2 linked regions of the Lonchura striata genome follow. The protein of the gene in region 2 interacts with the protein of the main gene of each other region in a pairwise test. Links are inferred from orthologs where the notes say so. Each region holds a gene or a part of one and is shown on either strand. Other genes may lie near its edges. The genes, in order: MAD2L1 and INSR.

Region 1 (9,710 bases), on a different chromosome or scaffold from region 2:
TTACGCCTGGCCTACCTTCCACTGACTGTCAGATAGTGGACAAGGAATAGCTTATTTTGAGCAATAATGCCATGTTTTCACTCAAATCAGATTTCAAGGAAAGAAGACTGTAAGGAACAATTAACATCAAAGTGCTACTCACATTACCAAGCCATCTGGTTTCCATTTTTACACTCCTAGCAACATCACATCATGAGGTTTGGATGAGGCCTTCCACTGTGCACGAGGCACAGGTAACTGCTTTGAATTTGAATTTTGTAACTGGACTTCCAAATAGTGTTATAACATTCTCTAGATTTTCTCCTAAAAATTTTGCTGGTGTTGACTAACAGCAAGCAGTGAATTGGATGTCCTTCGGGGCTTATGAATGACTTAGAAAACCAAGTGCATTTGTTCAAATTGTACCAGCAAATCCTTTCTTCACTTTTCACATGTGATGCAGAATTGTATAAGCTTTGGTTTGTACCTGATACTTCCCACACTTACCTCAATGCTGTTCTTGTGCAAAGACAGCTTCTTTAATGGTAAAAGAAAAACTCCTGGCTGTATGATTCCCAGAGCACAGTTCCCTTTCCACTGAGAGGGGAGTTTTGGGTATGCTTTTTCCACATATCCAAAATAAGCCTTCTGGAGCTTTCCAATAGTCAAATTTTTGTTGATCTATATTCTCCCAAAATTTGGAAATTTCTGGGATGCCAAAGTTAAGTCATCAGTGCTAATAATCAGATATTGCCCTGATTTCCAGATAAAGGCATTTTTAACAGCTCATGTTACTTCTGGACTGCTCATGTTTGTTTGTGAACCAGCAGAGCAGATGAGTTCTGATTAAAGGCACACACAAAGTTCAAGAGTCAAGCATTTGTCTCCATGCTATGGGATGAGACTTGCAGCATGCACTGAGATGCAGGTATGGGATGGAGAAGAAGTGCTCAGGGTACAGTGGCCTGAGCATGCCTCATAAAGTATTTCAACTCTTTTCACTATTATAATTCATTGGTGACAAATTGTTCTTTTTTTTTTTTTTAGAATGGCATGCATAAATTTCTCAAAACATATGGAAACAGAACTTTTTCTTGAAATAAATCATCTTAATTGAATAATTCTTCATACCACATAGGAATAAATATCTTTAGAAAATCATTTTTTGCCATTTTCTGTCCAATACTTTGGAGAAAGTTGTTGTCAGTAATGATTATCATTCTGCCAACAGGACACCTAACTTGCCTGGAGATTTAACTGTAGGAAAACAAATATATATAAAGGATCTAATTTTCAAGTGGAAATAAAGGAAATATTCATATTTTTTGCCTCAAATGTTTCTAATGCCAATGACATGCTTTTCACAATGTATTTCCCTCTTCAGTCATCCCAATTCTCAGCCACTATGTAAGCTGCACTGTATTTCTTGCTGCACAATCAACTGAACAAGCCCATCATGATTATACATCAGAAGAAACACAATTAGAAAGCAATCATAAAGCAACAATTCCCATCTAACATGTTGCAACCACACAACAGAATCCTATCAAAATTCCATATGGTACTACCAAGCCGTATTTACTGTGCTACCAATCTTCTGGATCCTTTTCTCCTCATTTTCTGATGATCCACCAAAAGTCTCTGTTGACAAACCTATAAATGATAAATCAATGTTCCAGGGTACTTAAGAAGGCTCATTTTGAATTTAAAATTTAATAATACTGGCTCAGTAAATTTAAGCTACCTGAGAACTCCCTAGTTTTCTATTGATCTATTAATATGAAAACTTCAGATGTGACAGGAGCTAAACTGAATTGGATTAACATTCACCTTTCAAACTATAAACCTTCAGGTTGGGGATTAAGTAATGAAGGGGATTAAGCTGTAAAGAGCAGGATTCATTGGATTTCACATAGCATGTTACCAGTGTAATAGGACATCATCCAGCACTAAGAAGTTCTCAAGGCACAAAAAAACTCAGTAAAGTCCTGTTCTTCCCAATTCTGAAACCAGATTCTTATCCTCACATGAAATGTTTAAAGATAATAATTCCTTTGTTAAATTGTCTCTAATGCGACAGAAACCAAAGATAAACAACAAAACTGGGCATTAAGTATCCCCTTCATTCTGGGAAAAATATTTTAAATCTAGAAAAAGGTGTAAAACTAGTAAAGAACCTAACAGTGAAACTAACGGTGAAATCAACTCGCAGTACTCGAACCAAAACTGAAGGGGCGCAGATAACGCGTGTGCCTGCTGCCATCTCCTGGTAGAAAAATGTCAGGTCTCCGAAGGAAAACCTTCCCCAAAAACGGAAAAAGAACTTTATGTTCTACAGAAAATGCTTTCAAAACTCTCAAAATTTACAAGATTTTATTTCACTGTACAAGGCAGCCACTACCTGGACATAGCTCCTTACAAGCTAAATGGAGTTCTAACACTGGCTTAAGCAGAGAAACACCAAAGCTCTGTGATTTTTATAAAGGAAATAAGTACTCACCCGACTTACTCTAATTTAAAAATACATTCAGAAAATTAACTGTAGAAATTTACACACGGCATTCAAAATCAAAGGAAGTCGCTTTGGGAAGCCTGATCATCTTATTACAAGTTCTAGTGCAGATTATTGGCCCATACTGACTCATTTTAGTATCCATTTCTTTTCATGAATACTTGAAGTTCAAGACAATCTTTCACTGTTGTGCTACCCTCATTGCCTTTGATGAATTGCACAGAATTGATATTTGTAATAATATTCCATGTTTTATGTTCTAAAAATAGGATTAGCAAACTTGAAAAGAAATTTTATTTTGACAGCTGACAGAAGGCACCTGTACTTACCCTGCAAAATTTAGTGCCACAAAGACTGTTTTAACTTGCATTTCATAGGCTATTTTGCTGTTCTGGAGAGAAGAGACTTGTCCACATCCTCCCAAAGGTCAAAAGATAAACAAATAATGGGAATAAACTTTACAAGTGGATTATGTCTCCTAGGGTGCTGAATGACTGTGGGAATGTGACCTGGCGTGCCTTAGAAAAAATGATGGCATACTAGTGATTTGGATTGCCCATGGTTCACTGACAATTGCCATGGGGAAATAATCACTGAATGTTGCAGAAAAGCCAAGCTAAATGTGGAACATTTCCCTTCACAGAATGAGAATCCAAAAAATTGTGTTGCAACATCAAGCTGTAACTGAGAAACTGAACAATGACTGAAGAGTTGTAAGAGATCTAAATTAAATCCAACTGGGATTTCACATTCCTTATGAAAATGGAGGTTTTATCATGAGATGATTAAAGCAAGGATAGCCAACTCCTGGTGTGCCAGAATGTACAACTTAGCCTGTCATCCTGGTTCGTGAGAGTCCCTTGGAGCTGGTCAGGAAACAGCCTGTCACAAATCAGCCACTCGCCCTCAGCAGGATCCCTGGCAGAGCTGCAGAGCCCTCCTCCTGCTGGGCATTCCCAGCCACAAACTGCAGGCACTGTCTATGGAGCGTGGTCAGGAACATGAGGAAGGACTTGTGTGCATGTCCCCATCACACCTGGCCCGGCCATGGTCAGATGCCAGCTGCAGCTTACTTACAGCACAGAAGAAACAACACATTTCCAAAGGTTGTGCAAATTGCACCAAATGCAAAGGTGTTGGGGATTTGTTGTGGAGGAGAAGGGAGCACATCAGGGCAGAAACTGGTGCTAATCACAGCACAGAACCAGGGAGAGAAACGACCCAAAACTCTGAAATGCCAGGTGCAGGAAGCTCAGAGTTCCAACAGAGGTCACCAACCACTCTCAATGTCTGCCAGGTGAACCTTGTCAAAAGTAACGAGGAAGAAAATAAGTCTGACACTGATAAGCATATGCACCTGTGTGCGTGCAAACTATCCAAACTGAAACACAGACATTAACTTGGTAAACCAAGAAACACCTTGATTCCTTTCTTCTGTCTGATTTCAACAGGAAGACAGCTAGAGGAGAAATGTGTTAAATATTAATCAAAAGCTCTGCTATTCTTGCCTGGTCTCACGCTTTCAAGTTATTCTGTTTATCACAAAAATGAGCAACTCTTCCAAAACAAAATGGACAAGAAGCCAAGTGTAGGAAAAACCCCAGAGGACTGAGACCATTTGGGGATGGATAAATAAGAGCACCACAGTACATAAGGTTTTAAGCAAAACAGCTAATATTCACAGCAATTGAACTTCTAAAAGTTAGGCTTTGGATGAAAAATGCTTCCATTATTACAACCTTGGAAATATACCACTCTTACTCAGAAAATACTTTATTCAGAAGACTTATGTATAACACAATCACTAGTGAACAAGATCCAGAATAAATCTCCCCTGGTTAAATTAAATTATTCAGACCCTTTCAGAACTTCAGCACATGACTTCAGGACAATACCATTTGTTTTAATCACAGCAGCCTGAATCCTGAGAAAAACCATATTTCCTCTTGGATCAACACAGGAACCAAGAGAAAGCCTAAGCTTTTGTGGAAAAGTATTTTATTACAATAAATAAGCAATCACACCATCAATTCACTCTCTTAGCATCTGGCCCACTGTACTGTGTAATGATTACATGGTTTTTATTCTCAGTATAAATATTTGTGTTTTGAATACAACTTCATTTTAAGACTGATCAATTTGTTTCTTTTAAGGGTGATATGGTTATCTAACACAAGTATATCTTAGATGATAATATCAGATGATGCTTTGGAAAAATCACATTCAAGTTATAATTAATTTCATTTGCAGCTCTGCTCCATCCATAAATCCATAAATTTTCATTTTCTTGCTTACAATTGATTTTATAATCTAATTAGCTGGTGACCTTGTTACTATCCCGACAGACCATAACTTCCCCTCCTCATATTATTAACATACTTCAACATTTCCTTGTTTTTCTCAGTCTCTCTTACCTGTTAACCTCTGCCACAGCTTCCTCCAGGTGACGGACACTGCTGGTTGCAACATCTTCCTTGGTGTCCCTGTATTAACAGGACTAAAGATGTTTGACCAAGTAGCAAATTCCCTTCACCAAGGCAGCCCAACAACCCTAATGGTTCTCAACCCTTTATTATTTTTATTATTACTTCTGGAGTTGTTATGGATTGAATTAAATATTGTTTATCCACGTTCTCCCCACCTGCCTCTTCACACGTGGGGGGTGCTTGCAGAATAGTATTTTTGATTTCAAACAGCTACTGCATGACTTACACCATGAAAGCCACCAGTAAATCGTAAATGAAGTATTTGTTGAATTCATACCTGGAAAGTACCATTTTTAGGTTAGTACGGTCGAATACACCTCGGCAGAGTGAAACGCAACTTCCCACAGCATTCCCAAAGCAGAGCTCCTCACTCGCTCCACGCCCGCCCCGCGCTCCCCTCAGCCCCGCCCACAGACGCGCCAGCACCGGGAGCGGCCGGGCAGTTTAACAGGGAGGGAAAGAGCCCTTCCTCTCCCGGCAGGCTGCAGCCCGGTTTCCACGGCTAAGGGGCGCGGGGAATCGCCATTCCCGGAGGGAAAGCCGCCGCGGCAGCCTGAGGCGGCGCGCGCCCCCCTCCCGCGGCCGCGCGCGCGGGAAGGGGCGGGCCCGGGGGCGGGGCCGGATTCGAACCGGGCGGCGGGGAAGCGGCGGCCATGGCGGCGCAGCAGCAGCTCGGCCGGGAGCACCAGGGCATCACCCTGCGCGGCAGCGCGGAGCTCGTCGCCGAGTTCTTCTGTGAGGGGGCCGCGGGGCACCTCGGGGACCGCGCTGCGAGAGAGGGAGGGAGAGAATGGGGGTGGGAGGGGAGGGGGTGGGAGGCCGCGGCTGGTGGGGCGACATGGCCGCCGGCTGGGGCGTGGGGGGGGGTGGCTTGGTACACATCCCTTTCCCTCTCCGCCTAAATCGTGCAGCCTATGGAATCAACAGCATCCTGTACCAGCGGGGCATCTACCCCCCCGAGACCTTCACCCGCGTGCAGAAGTACGGGCTCACGCTGCTGGTCACCACGGACGCCGAGCTGGCCAACTACCTCAACAACGTGACCGAGCAGATGAAAGGTGCGGGCCGGCGGCGGGGCGCTCCCTGCGGTGTCCCTGCCGCTGCTTCTCGCGCTCTGAGCGACTGCCCCGGCTTCTTGCAGAGTGGCTGTACAAGTGCACCGTGCAGCGCCTGGTGGTGGTCATCTCCAGCATCGAGAGCAGCGAGGTCCTGGAGCGGTGGCAGTTTGACATCGAGTGTGACAAAACTGCAAAGGATGACAAGTGAGTTCCACGGTCCCTCCACTCCTGCGCTTCCCTATCCTGAGTACCTGGGCAGATCAATGCCACGGACTTGTTCCTTCAAAGCTTTCTCAGTGCCCTGCCCTCTGTTTGTCTGCAAAACAATAGAGGGAGAGCAGCTATCACTTAACTTTTCTAAGGACTTAAAAGTGTCACTACTACTCTAAAAATACTCTAGCAAACAGACTACCAGAGCTTAACAAAGATAACTATATTTAGAGGAAACTGTCAGTGCAGTAGTAGTTTCTTCTCTTACCAGAATTTTCTTATTTTTCCAGTGGACCACGGGAGAAATCTCAGAAGGCAATTCAGGATGAAATTCGCTCTGTCATCAGACAAATAACTGCCACAGTAACCTTCCTGCCACTCTTGGAATCTGCCTGTGAGTATTCCAAAGTGCACTAAAGAAATAAAATACTTTTGAAAAACCTCAGTAACTTTCCAACTTCGGAAAATATTTTTCTGAGGCTTTTTAATGATTACCCATTGTGCACCGTCAGGTTTGTGAGACAGCATGAGATCAAGACAGAACTTGGTGTGGCTTAACGAACTTGAGGAAATTAATGTGTTTGCCCTGAGGAATGCAAGTTTTCATGAATAATTTGCTCCTATGAAATGTTATACAGAGCTCATCTCCACAGCATTGTAACATGCTTTAAAAAAAATTACAACACAATTTAGTTATTGAGAAAACTAAAAGGATGTCACATTAATGTAACTTTTGGGTTGGTTTTTTTTTTTTCACATAACTAGTATCAGTGTAACTTCTGAAAACCTTGATCCTTGTCTCTAAGTCTAGAAGCTGCACTTCAAAGCTGCCACCATGTCCTTATGGTGAATTTGTTTTCCCTTGCTCCCAGGTGCCTTTGACTTGCTGATCTACACGGATAAAGATTTGGCAGTGCCAGAAAAGTGGGAAGAGTCAGGACCGCAGTTCATAGCCAATTCAGAAGAGGTTCGGCTACGTTCCTTCACTACCACAATCCACAAGGTCAACACTACAGTGGCTTACAAGAAGGATTCTGTTCCCTAAGATGCTGGGGCAAGTTTTGTGTGTGTAAATATCCTGTCACCTTGTATAGTTTCTGTTCATCATGCAGCTAAGCTATGAGCACATCATTACTGTCCTCTTGATAAAAGTATGACAAAAAGACAACGTGCATGTCTGTGATACTGTGACACTAGACTAACCTGGCATTTTTAAAGAGATTTAAAAAAGGTACTTATGGTCATAGTTCAATTCTTACTTTACTGTATGTAAAATAAGCTAAACTAATGGTGTGTTAAACCACTGCCTCTGCTAGAAAAACTGCCTAAATCTAGGATTAGTTGCTAGAGTTGTATTATTCTTAAACTGCATTCTGTTAGCAGTCTTAAATTCTCTGTAGCAACTAAAATAATCTCATTCCTAGTGTGCCAGTTTTCATGTTAGAAGCCTGGGCTGTTTTATTACCAGAAATAACCCTAAAACAAATCAACCAAACAATTCTTGTACCACTCTACAATGGTAGCAGCTGTTTTATCAGGAAAACTTTAAACACATGAAGCCTTCTATTTTAATGACCACTGGGCTCTGGTTCTGGGGACACAGTTGTTCTGTGTACGTCTGTAGTGTCTGTCCAGCGTTTTCTATGTTTCTATTCTTGGTTACAGAATAAAGCTTCGGGTTTTATGTTCTCTAATTGAGAGTCTACAGTTCTTGGTACTTCAGATGGTTCCATGAATGCTACATTCTAGTTTATAACTGTCACACAAGCAACACCCAAGACATCCTCCTTGTTACTTAACTGTTTCCTTCCTGAGTCTCCATGTGGTGTGGACTCTGTATGAAATCCATTAATGGATTAACACTTTGCTCCCACCTAAGTTTTCAAGCAACAGTTTAAACAGTCACAGTGAACTAATGACACTGCCTTCCATATTTGTTAAACAGCACTGGACTCTTTCATGTGTTCTTACCATTTCTGTAGTGGAAGAAATTAGGGATTTAAATCTCTGGAACTTTCAGACTTACATGGTTTTGTTCACTTCCTTCACTAAATTCATTCCAGCCAGAGTGTTTAACTGGTTTTTCCACTCTTTTACAGTGATGCAGAACTTTCTGTTATAATAATATAATTTCAGAATTTTATTTAAAAAACACAGATTACATATACCCTATCCCAGGACTGTATTTCTTGCATTTTCTTATTTCCAGGAAATACTTCTCCCCAGCAGTCCCAATACAGCAAAAGAAAAAAAAAAAAAAAAAAGGCAAAAAAAAAAAAAAGCTCTTTAAATCAGGACCACAAACCCTTAATTTTTAAAAAATAAATACAATCCAGGTACTTAACAAGTGACATTATTCACGGCTAGGGCTTGTGCTGCAGTAACAGAGCATGGTGTTTTCTTTTTTTTCTTTTGCCTATCAGCACAATTGTGACTGCACTACCCCTTTCACCCCCAGAAGCACATCAAAGAGTGAAGTCTGTAGTAGTGTGCATAAAAAACACTTATTTTACAGAGATGCAAATGTGAAATTGCTCCAAGAAGCTCATTCTTGTACCAAAGAGAATTTATCTTCTTTAAGAAGGGCCAGCCCAAAGTCCATCTCCATCATCATCTTTGTGTTTCTTCTTTTATAGAGGCACCAGCAATCAAGAGAAGTTGCATACAGATCACTGCATGTAGATAATGTCCACAAAAGGTACATGTGAAAAGGAACAGGTCATAGATCCCAGTTTTCACAAAATCCCTGCAGAATAGGGAAGAAAATATAAAATAAAGTCATATTATCTCCCAGGAGCCAAGCCTTCATGGAGGTGTCCAACTGCATGTGCTGATCCTAAAGGGATCACTCTTGATTAGTTTCTCCTACTCTGAGGTCAGTTTTGCAGAGTGACAAAACCAAGTGAGCACCCCATTCATCTTCAATGGCAGTCTGGTTGTCCTTAGGACAGGGAATGAAGGGTAAGCTTCAGAACTAACCCAGCAGGCACTGCTCACCTGACTAGTTGAGCTGACGGATGAGCTGGTTGATTGCATCACCTCTGTAGCCAGGCTTGCCCATCTCCTTGAGGAAACCCACTCTGTTCCGTGATGCGTGGCGAGCCACTGACAGGTGGAACGGCCACAGAAAGCTGGTTACTCTTTTGAAATACTTCCCAGTTGAGTAGATTTCATGAATAAGGTCTTCCAGGCAAATGATATTACAGCCCCCTGTATGAGGGAAAAAAAAAGATGTCCAGCTGTATAATCTTTCCTCACACTGCTCCAGAACTGCCAGTCCTCCAGTTTGACAAGATTTTGTCTGTCCCCACCCTTTCAGGCCAGACTGTAAACTCTCAACACCTAACCCTTTCCTCAATTTTCTCACCCTCTTCCTCACCTAAATGTTCCTCTATCAGCATGTTGTCTGTCAGAGGCACCTTCTTTTTCTTGATCTTGGCTTGGCCCCGTTTCAGGATGAGCTCT
Region 2 (9,922 bases):
TGCTGAGACAGGAGAACATCCTGGTAGCAGGTTAGAGGGAAGGACTGTGTGACAGCTCCTAGCCTAGTGCAGCAATTGTTTGCTAAACATAAAAACCATCTAATTGTGCAATATGGATTTTCATGCTTCATTTCTGCACCTCAGATATCTCGAGCTGAGAAAATTGGATAAGGACTCCAAAATGAGCCCCTATAAACCCTCAGCCCTCGGGGAACATCTCAGGTACCTGATACCTCTCACCGCTCAAACCCCTCCAAGTCTGGCCTTTAAAGCCTGGGCTGGGCTGTCTTTATGCTCCCCTCACTTGATTCCAAACCCAGAGAGCAAACAGGACTTGTCCTGCCCCATTTCCAGGCAGAGATAAGCAGTGCTGGGGTGGCAGCACCCCGGGATCGCTCGGGGTAACGGCGGCGGCGGTGCTGGAGCTGACACACCTGAGGATCCTCCCTGCTCCAAAGGCAGCAGGAACAGGTTCCACACCTTGCCCATAGCAGCATCATTGATATTCCACAAGGATTATTCCATAATCCCAAAAGTGACCTCCAGAAAGCTCTGGGGTTTTACGCTGTTCAGAGACAGCCACTGCGCTGCCTCGCCCCAAAAAAGGGACAGGACATGCTGGGGCCTGGGTTTGGTACAGCCCTGCCCTTCTGCACTCACTTTTCCTACTTTATTCTCATGCTTTTTTCTCCTTTATTCCTGCTTTTGGTCTCATAAAAAAATTCATTCTAGACTGAGTGTCTCAACATAAAAAATTAACTCAGGCCTGAGGTGGGACAAGGGAACAGTTTCTTAATGAGTTTACGAGCACAAAAATATCTGTATCAACCAGATGTGATACTAACTAAGAAGCAACCTATTTTTAAAGTGTGTTACTACAGCAATACACAGCGAAATTTGTCCCACAGGGTGATTTAGGCAGAGATCTCTCAACTGCATTCCCAACTCTCACATCAGCAGCAGGTACTGGAGCACATGTGCAGCTCCTAAATTTAGGGGAAGAGTTCAGAAAGGGAGGAAGAGTGCTCTAAACACCCATGACTGCATTGATCAGTTTTCTATTAACCAGAAAAGAAGCCCAAAGGAAGCTGCTTCATTACCAGATGCCTAAAACTAGGTGAGGTAAATCCCACCCCAAATACCAGAGCTAATGAACTGACAGGCATGAGTCATGTGCGAGATTTATTTCAAGAAGTTGCATTATGTTTACACAGTCATTAAAAAAAAATACACAAAACTGTCTTTCTTCCCAAAACAAGATATATGGATCTTCATTTTATGCACAGGTCAGGCCTTCTTTCCTTAACCCTTTCTTCTTCTCTCAGTAACTCCTGAACTCAGTAACTACCTTTAACCACATGTAAGAGAGGAAGAGTGCTCTCACATGAAGTATTCCTAAAATATTTAGGAAAATGGGATGGATTGAGGAGGAGAAACTCATAATCCGGATGGAAATGTGAATTTTACCATCCACTCCATTTTTCTACTGAACAACCTCCATCCACCTGCTGCTTGCCCCCAAATCTTCTCCAAGGCTGCCTAAAGGCACCAAAAGGGAGAGACATTTACACATGGGACACAAGGACAACCATGGATGGGGGGAATTTTGTACCTGCAGAGCCTGTCTGTGGGAACACAGGGCACAGATCTCCAAGAAAGCTGCCTCAATCAGACCCGTTGCTCAGGGAACAACTTGTTTGCTCATGCAGCTCTTGTACGTGCATTTCCCCCTCTGGTTTTTTGTTTCTGTTTTCCATCCCCACTGTGGTGCTCCATGACCTCACCATTCCCAGAAAACTGAGCCAAGCCCCCAGAAAATAGAATCAAACACCAGAGCAGCTGAAAACCTTTTAAATCACGTTCAAACATCAAAACCCCGACGGTCCGAACTGTCTGTAGAATATTTCATGAAATATTTGCACAGTAAAAATGATATGGAAATGTTCCAGCCCACGCTTTGCTTTGCTGTCTTGTGCCCCTGTTCCTCCATCCATGAACTCAAGAGAACATTTTCCTACCACGCTGTAACACAGCAAAGATTAGGGAGTTTAGAACATAGACACGCTTGAACCCCAAAAAGCAAATATGATTTAAATAAATAACCAAATCACAGGCTGCGCCGTGGCAGTAATAATAGTGTTTTCAAATTAGGAACTGCTGGACTCCAGTTGCACACGTATTTATTTATTATTAGTGCTATATGTCAACTGCCTTTTCCATCTCTGCTGGAGGCGGGCAGGTTTGCCCACAGCAGCTGGGACTGACCCTCCCAAGGTAACACAGTGTCACCGGACTCTTGTGAGGTTTCAAACGTGTGAGGGAAGAAACTGGGTTATTTTTGAAATACGTGATTTGTCCTATTGTTGGAAAAAGAGGCTGTCTTACAGGAGCATCCTGCCTTATTCCCTGAATCCCATACACATCCCAATAATGTCCATCACTGTATTGTCAGTACTTGAACTGATTCTCTTGCTCTTGCCTTTTCTGAAGGGAAAGCCAACAGGTAGATTGTCTATGTGAGACATGACCCACGGATCCAGTTAGCTGTCTTTAAATAAATATTTTCCTTTTGTCAAAAAAAATGGCAAGAATCGCCCAAAATTAAAGAACCTCCCATTAAAAGGATTTCCTGAGCAAGTTTATTTAACATAACCCATCAAAACAACTCGTAAGGCTTAACCTGGAGCTAGCCGCAGGTTTAACAAGCTTGTGACCTCCAACACAACATCTTCATACCCCTGTCCAGTATTTTACAAGCCCCTGTGTACACACAGAGCCTTCCCCTGGAGCTCTCCCATCTTAATACCTGTGGATTTGGCACACTACCTAAAAGTGGTTAAAGACAAAACCTCCGCGTCTGGCCACACTAAACCCTCCTGAAACCGGAGCCGGTTCTGAGGCAGCCGAGCAGCGGCAGGGGCACAGGACTGGGGAGGGAACCGGGGAAAGGATCAGGGAAAGGACCCGAGAAGAGACTGGGGAAGGGACCGGGGAGGGAGCGGAGAGGGACCCGGGAAAGGAGCATGGGACAGGACCCGGGAAAGAGACACGGGACAGGACCCGGGAAAAGGACACGGGACAGGACCCGGGAAAGAGACACGGGACAGGACCCGGGAAAGGGACACGGGAGAGAGACCCGGGAAAGAGACACGGGAGAGAGACCCGGGAAAGGGACACGGGACAGGACTCGGGAAAGGGACACGGGACAGGACCCGGGAAAGGGACACGGGAGAGAGACCCGGGAAAGGGACACGGGACAGGACCCGGGAAAGGGACACGGGAGAGAGACCCGGGAAAGGAACACGGGACAGGACTCGGGAAAGGGACACGGGACAGGACCCGGGAAAGGGACCGGAGAGTGGATCGGGGGAGGGGACCCAGGGAAGGGGCCGGAGAGGGGACCGGGAAAGGGACCGGGGAGGGGACTGAGGAAGAGACCCTGGCAGGGCCCGGGGAGGGGAGCCGAGGAGGAACCGGGGAGGAACCGGGGAAGGAACGGGGGAAGTGCCCATGGAAGGGCCGGGGAGCGGCTCCGCAGAGGGGCCCGTGCCCCTCCCCGGGCGCGGCCCCGCTGACCCCGGCCCGGCGCCGCCCGCGCGGGGCCCCGCGGGCCGGGAGAGCCGGGGCCGCCGCTGCCCTCCCGGCCGTGCCGCTCCAATCTCGGCCGCCGCCGGGCCGGGCCGGGGCTGAAGGTGACCCGGGAGCGCTCCGGGCCGCGCTGCCCGCGGGCCCCGCGCAGGTACAAAGGGCACGGCGGGCCCGGGCCCGCCCCGCCGCCGCCCGCAGCCCCCCAGCCCTCCCGGCCGGGCCCCGACTCACTCTCGCCGCGGCCGCGGCCGCACCAGGCTCCCAGCACCACGGCCACGGCCAGCGCCGCCGCGGCCGCCGCCGCTCTCGGTCCCATCCCGCGCCGCTGCCGCCGCCCGGCGCGAATCAGAGCCCGCGGGGCGGGCGCGGGGGCCGGGCCCGGCCGAGCATCGCCGCGGAGCCCCCGCGGAGCCCCTTTATAGCGCCGGGCCCCTCCCTGCCCGCGGAGTCGGCCCCGGCCCGGCGGCCCCTCGCAGCGCAGGCCGGGCTGGCGGCGCCCCGGCCGGTAAACAAGGGGCTGCCCCCGTCAGCTGCGAGCCCGGCGGGGCGGCCGCAAGAGGCGGCGCGGAGCGCGGGCACGGGACGGGACGGGCCGGGGGAGGAGCGGCGGCGGCGTCCAGGCACCCTTCATCACCCAGCCTCCCTTCATCATCCAGCCTCCCTTCATCATCCAGGCACCCTTCATCACCCAGCCGCCCTTCATCATCCAGCCTCCCTTCATCATCCAGGCACCCTTCATCATCCAGGCACCCTTCATCATCCAGCCTCCCTTCATCATCCAGGCACCCTTCATCATCCAGGCACCCTTCATCATCCAGCCGCCCTTCATCATCCAGCCGCCCTTCATCACCCACCCATCACCCACCCCTCCTCTGTCCGTCCGTCCTTCTGCCCGTCCGCCCACCCACCCATCCAGCCGGCTGTGAGCCCCGTTGGTGCTGCCCGAGGAGCCGCAGTGGCCTCGGCAGCGTGCAGCGAGTGAAACGCAGGAGTTCAGCAGCCTGACCTCGCTGTTTGTTCAAATGGAAGGAGAGCATGGTTAGGTGAGAGATTAGGGAAAATATTTTTACTGGGAGGGTGGGCAGGCCCTGGCACAGGGTGCCCACCCTGGATCCCTGGCAGTGCCCAAGGCCAGGCTGGACAGGGCTGGGAGCAGCCTGGGACAGTGAAGGTGTCCCTGCCATGGCAGGGCTGGCACTGGATGGGCTTTGAGGTCCTTCCCAACCCAAACCATTCTGGGATTCTGTCTCTCTGTCCCAGTGCTGACAGCCCAGGCTGAGAGCAGGGCTGCTGCCCTGGCTCTGCCCGTGTCCCTCCTCCTCCCGCAGAACTGGACAGAGCTTGTCATGAGGATACTGTCTACCACTGCCACTGCTTTCAGTATCACAGAACCCAAAGAGCCATTGCAGATTTCTGGTTCTTTTTGCTGTGGGATTCATCATTTGGTGCCTTTTTTAATCATCTCTGCACTGCACTCGTGCTAAGCCATGACAGTACGTTTCCTGGCAACTTCCAGTAATTTTATCTGGCTTTTGCTTTCAGCCATTTCTGCAAGACAAATGAGTTATAAACTGCTGGAATAAAGCCTTTTTTAATTAAAAAATGCTTGGCAAATAGACATTCTTTACAATTTTTATCCCACCATCTTTAGCTTAGAACAGATCTCTCACTTCTGCTTGACATTAAGAGACCCTGGGCAGGCCAGAGTTAACCAGCAGGTCACCGTGCCTCAGTCCCCTCGTCTGCACTATGAGTTTACCCTATTTAAAGTATTTTGCATTGCTTTTCCAGGTAAAGAATGACTGCAGTTGTCCCAGGGACACGACACAGTGTGACTGAGGGGAGGGCTGGTCAGTGAAATCGTGGCTCTGCTGGTGTGACTCAGCCCCTGATACTGTTTGAAGTTTCCCTGTTGGACAGGGTAAGACCGGCGGCCTGATTTGACCAGTGTAAGCAGGATTAGCTGGGATGGTACCTGTGCAACAATAACTACATCTCAGCATTTGCAGACTATTTAAATGCTGAGATGAAAGGCTCTGCTTAAGTGGGGATGCTTTCTCTGTCATCAGCACAGCAGATGTGTGTCTGCACAGCACAGGAGCTGTTGATTCAGCCCATCAGAACCACAGTCATGGGATGGCATTTCCCCCGTTTCTGTCCTTTTTTCACAAATCCATGCTGCTGCCTCAAGCTGACAAGTGCAGAGAGACTCAGAACCCCACTCATGCTCAACTGCTTCAGGAAGTAAGGACACTTAAGGAAGGGAAATAAACAACAAAAGTATGCATTCTCTGCTTGCAAATTAACTTGCTTTATGACTGTAGACTTTGCATAAAACAGAGCCAAACATCACCTGGACAGCTCGGGCTGTGTGGAATTTATACTGTGACTGTAACAGCAACCTGCTCTTGCTTACTCACTTATGTTCTCATTGCTTTTCATGTAATAATGATATCAGTTTACACATTGGCATATGAGGATTAAAGGCTACAGATTTATTATCTTTCCTTAAAATACTATTTTTAGTTTCTAATTACTGATTAAGAACATCAGTGTGCAACCTTTCCAGCATCTTTCCCATACATCCACTGCTACATATTCATCACGCTACAGTGCACTTGGTTTGCAATCAGATAAACCAACAGGAGCAATGTGGGCGCTTAGAAACTAAGCCAACACCTGCTTACTCTTGAGTTCTGTTTTTTTTTCTCCTAATAACTGCAATGCAGGCTTTTCTTTTATTTCTGATTCAAGAAGCTACTAAAATCACCAGTTTGATATATTAAATATTGGCAACAGTCATATTTCTTTCTCTCCACTACAGATGTTTTATGTTTTAGTTAGAATAACTTGGAAATAAGCAGGGATAAGTGCTATGAACTGTGACAATCACAGACCATGGGGGTTCAGATCTGAATCCTCCTGAGAAAATTAAGTACAGAAAGACTTGCAGTAGAGTGTATCCATCTGTTTGACCCTACCAAGACTTATTTGTTTTGGTTTGATCCATTCCTTACATAAATCATGGAATGGTTTGGGTTGGAAGGGGCCTTAGAGACCATCCCATCCTACCCCCTGCCATGGCAGGGACACCTTCCACTGTCCCAGGCTGCTCCAAGCCCTGCCCAGCCTGGCCTTGGGCACTGCCAGGGATCCAGGGGCAGCCACAGCTGCTCTGGGCACCCTGTGCCAGCCCCTTACTGCCCTCTCAGGGAACAATTCCTGCCCAATATCCCATCCATCCCTGCCCTCTGGCAGTGGGAAGCCACTCCCTGTGTCCTGTCCCTCCATCCCTTGTCCAAAGTCTACTGCTCTGTCCTACAGATGACTCCACATCAAACCAACCTAAGAGCACCAAGTTCCCAACAGATCCCTCCTCCAGATCAATGCTGCTCAGGACTGAAGCTCTTGGAAGCCCATCCCTGGAGCAGGAGCCACGTTTGCACACACAGGTAGGGACAATGACTTTGTAAAGCAGCTTGAATGTTGCAGCAGTGACAACCTTGTACTGTCACAAGTGTCTGTGGAGAGAGAACCCAGCTCAGCTCCCAAGCACCAACACATGGAGCTTGCTGAGAGCTTCACACCTTGAGAACCAACACATCTTTTTCTCTATGCACTGGAACACATGGGTGGGTTTTAGGTTGTGTGTCTTTAGCCATACTAATTAAAGTTCCTCACTAATTAACCACCCTGGGAATAGTCAAGGAACACAAACTTTGTGCCCCAAAGGAGCTTTGGAGCAGTTGACTCACCAGGAAGGTTCATTGGTACCAATTCTGTTTTAAGAACTAAGCTGCTTGAAAACCAGTTCAGGAGCCAAAGCCACACAGCAGCCTGGGGCTGAGCTGAGGTCAGAATTCCCACTTTCTGCTCCCCCAGTTCACTGTGGCCTTCTTTAAACAACAAGTTGCAACTGCCTGGGTGAAGAGTTACCCCATGGCTCAGGTTGCACTGTTTTTATTGATGTGCCAGGCACTCTTTCCTGCTCACACATTTCTCACCAGGCAATTTGCACGTTATGCAGCCTCCTGCCCTTTGAAGATGCAGCAGAGCTGCTGTTAAAGCCAACAACAGCCAAGTCTCTGCATCACTGGCAGGATGTTGCTGCAAAGGTTTACGGGATTGACTTTGCGGTGACTAAACCTAACGCTGAGAGCACAGGAGAGCTGACCTTGGAAAATTATCTCATCCTGTTTAGGGTCACACAACACCCTTGGCCAAATCTCTTAATATAAAATATTTCACGTCATGGATTGACAGAGTTCCTTTCTTACCCTTCCTTCCGTCCACACCAAATCCGATAAGTGACTTTTCTCAGTGAGGAGGCTCAGAGGATGGAGATCCGGTCACTTTATGTGCTAAGGACAGAAGTCTCAGCTTCTCAGCTTTTTGCTGTTGAAACAGGAAACCCTGTCAGATCCTTCTGGAGAATTCTATTGTTACATGAACAAATACAAATTTTGACCAGGGTGAAAATGGCAGAGGGCATCTCTCTGCTACATGCACATCAAAGACCCTGGAGATGAAGGAAGCAAATTCCACTGCAGCACTGCCTCATTTGAGCTTTTTTTTCGGTCCAGTTTCTGGTTTTGTGCAGTTTGATTTTTGGGTGTCACAGAGGCAGACACAATATTCAACTTGTTTTTAATTCCTTGTAAGAATATCTTTGTTCTAATTCAGCATCAAAGTTTACAGCTTGAAAAAACCAAAGTAGTGTCAGCGTTCCCAACCTGGGTCTGGTGAGCAGGGCCCAGATGTAAGAAAATCAGACAGATGTGGCCTTCAGCCCACTGAGCCTCCTCACCCTCCATCCTCCATCCTTCCCTACAGCTTCTGCTGCTCACCTCAGGCAGCCCCAGGTGTGTTTTGCACAACCTGCTGCCAGGCTCCCTGCTCTCCATCAGCCACCACGTGCAGGGCAGTGGCCACAGCCGTGTCACTGCCCCCAGCACGGCCACGCCGCTTCCAGCCCAGCCACCAGCTATACCAGTTCTGATCCACAGCTCACCCCCAGCCCCTCCTTCCTTGGTTATTTCTTGACGCTAATGCCTGTTTTTGTTGATCCAGAGTCTCATTTGGAGGGAGTGCTGGCAGCAGCAGGGTTCCCAACCCTGGCTCTGTGCTCCGCACCGCTCAGGGTTTGTGTTTTGGACGAGTCAGAACTCCCAGTTCCCGTTTGATAACCGGTTTGTTCTGTCGCTGGGAGACACGCCCTCCCTCTGTAAATGTTACAAATCAGCCGTATCTGATCCATTATTCACTAACTGCTGCTGCTTCTCAGTTCCAGCTCCTATTAGAGGGAGTGCTCATGCCAGAAATGTCACGGTGGCATCATGTGACAGGTGGTATTGATTTAGCGCCGTTGGGGTTTAATGTCACTCCCGTTCAGTGGGACACACGGCAAGTGCACGGATTCCCAGCAGTGGGGCAGGTCAGGACAGGAGCTCCCAGCCAGCCCCATGCCAGGCCCCGGACTTGGGAATTACATCAGGAATTCTGCTGCAGACCGCGACATTTGAGTACCTGCCCCGAGCTGCTCTAGCCCTGCCATTACAGTTTTTACGGTTCACAGAGTCACAGAATGGTTTGGTTTGGAAGGATCTTAAAAGCCCATCCCATTCCATCCCAACCCCTGCCATGGGCAGGGACACCTTCCACTATCCCAGGTTGCTCCAAGCCCCATCCAGCCTGGCCTGGAACACTTCCAGAAATGGGGCAGCCACAGCTGCTCTGGGCAGCCTGTGCCACGGCCTCACCACCCTCACAGGAAAGAATTTCTTTTGTAAAAGAAACTAAATTGTAACTAGAAATCATAAGACTCAATTCTGAGGTTTCATGGCAGGTTTACAGCAGACAGTGAGAAGGAAGGTGATGCTGAGTGTCACACAGAACCCTGCTCTGCCCACTCCCTCCTTTTCACTCTTCATAGGATATTCCCTTCTGGCAGAATAGCTGCCAGTTTGGGCAAGCTGCTCACAGCCTCTCAAGCCTGATGCACAAAGAGCAAAGAAAACCCAAGGGAGCACGTACCCAAAACCTGGGACTGCCCAGCCACAGGAGCCACTGTATCCAGTGTTCTGCTCCTGCCATTCCTGCATCAACACTCTGTGAAGGATCCTTCCAGCACATCCCATCTGTGACGAGGACACTGCTAAACACTGAGCATTGTAACACACGGAGTCTCTGCCGCCAAGGATGTTTGCCAGAAAAGCTTAGACTGACCCAGAGTCACCACTGCTGCCAGATTCTGAATTACTGCATCCACTGGCCTGACGTGACCCAAGCCTCCAAAAGGGTTTTGGTTTAATTTCCTTGCTCTCTCAAAGCAGGT

The links.
Region 1: the proteins of INSR (region 2) and MAD2L1 interact in binary tests that used the Homo sapiens proteins (3 or more experiments, as listed by UniProt). The link is inferred for Lonchura striata from reciprocal best matches to the Homo sapiens genes INSR and MAD2L1.

Annotation. Positions count from the first base shown.
Region 1 is NC_134606.1:70,013,700-70,023,409, forward strand, and holds MAD2L1 (mitotic spindle assembly checkpoint protein MAD2A), read left to right. Parts: upstream 1-5,585; 5' UTR 5,586-5,630; coding exon 5,631-5,712; intron 5,713-5,888; coding exon 5,889-6,035; intron 6,036-6,118; coding exon 6,119-6,239; intron 6,240-6,535; coding exon 6,536-6,639; intron 6,640-7,117; coding exon 7,118-7,290; 3' UTR 7,291-7,939; downstream 7,940-9,710. Other genes in the region: RPL7L1 (ribosomal protein uL30-like), read right to left, coding at 9,247-9,455, 9,625-9,710. UniProt on the Homo sapiens protein: Component of the spindle-assembly checkpoint that prevents the onset of anaphase until all chromosomes are properly aligned at the metaphase plate.
Region 2 is NC_134630.1:3,806,370-3,816,291, forward strand, and holds the start of INSR (insulin receptor), read right to left. Parts: upstream 3,917-9,922; 5' UTR 3,905-3,916; coding exon 3,820-3,904; intron 1-3,819. UniProt on the Homo sapiens protein: Receptor tyrosine kinase which mediates the pleiotropic actions of insulin.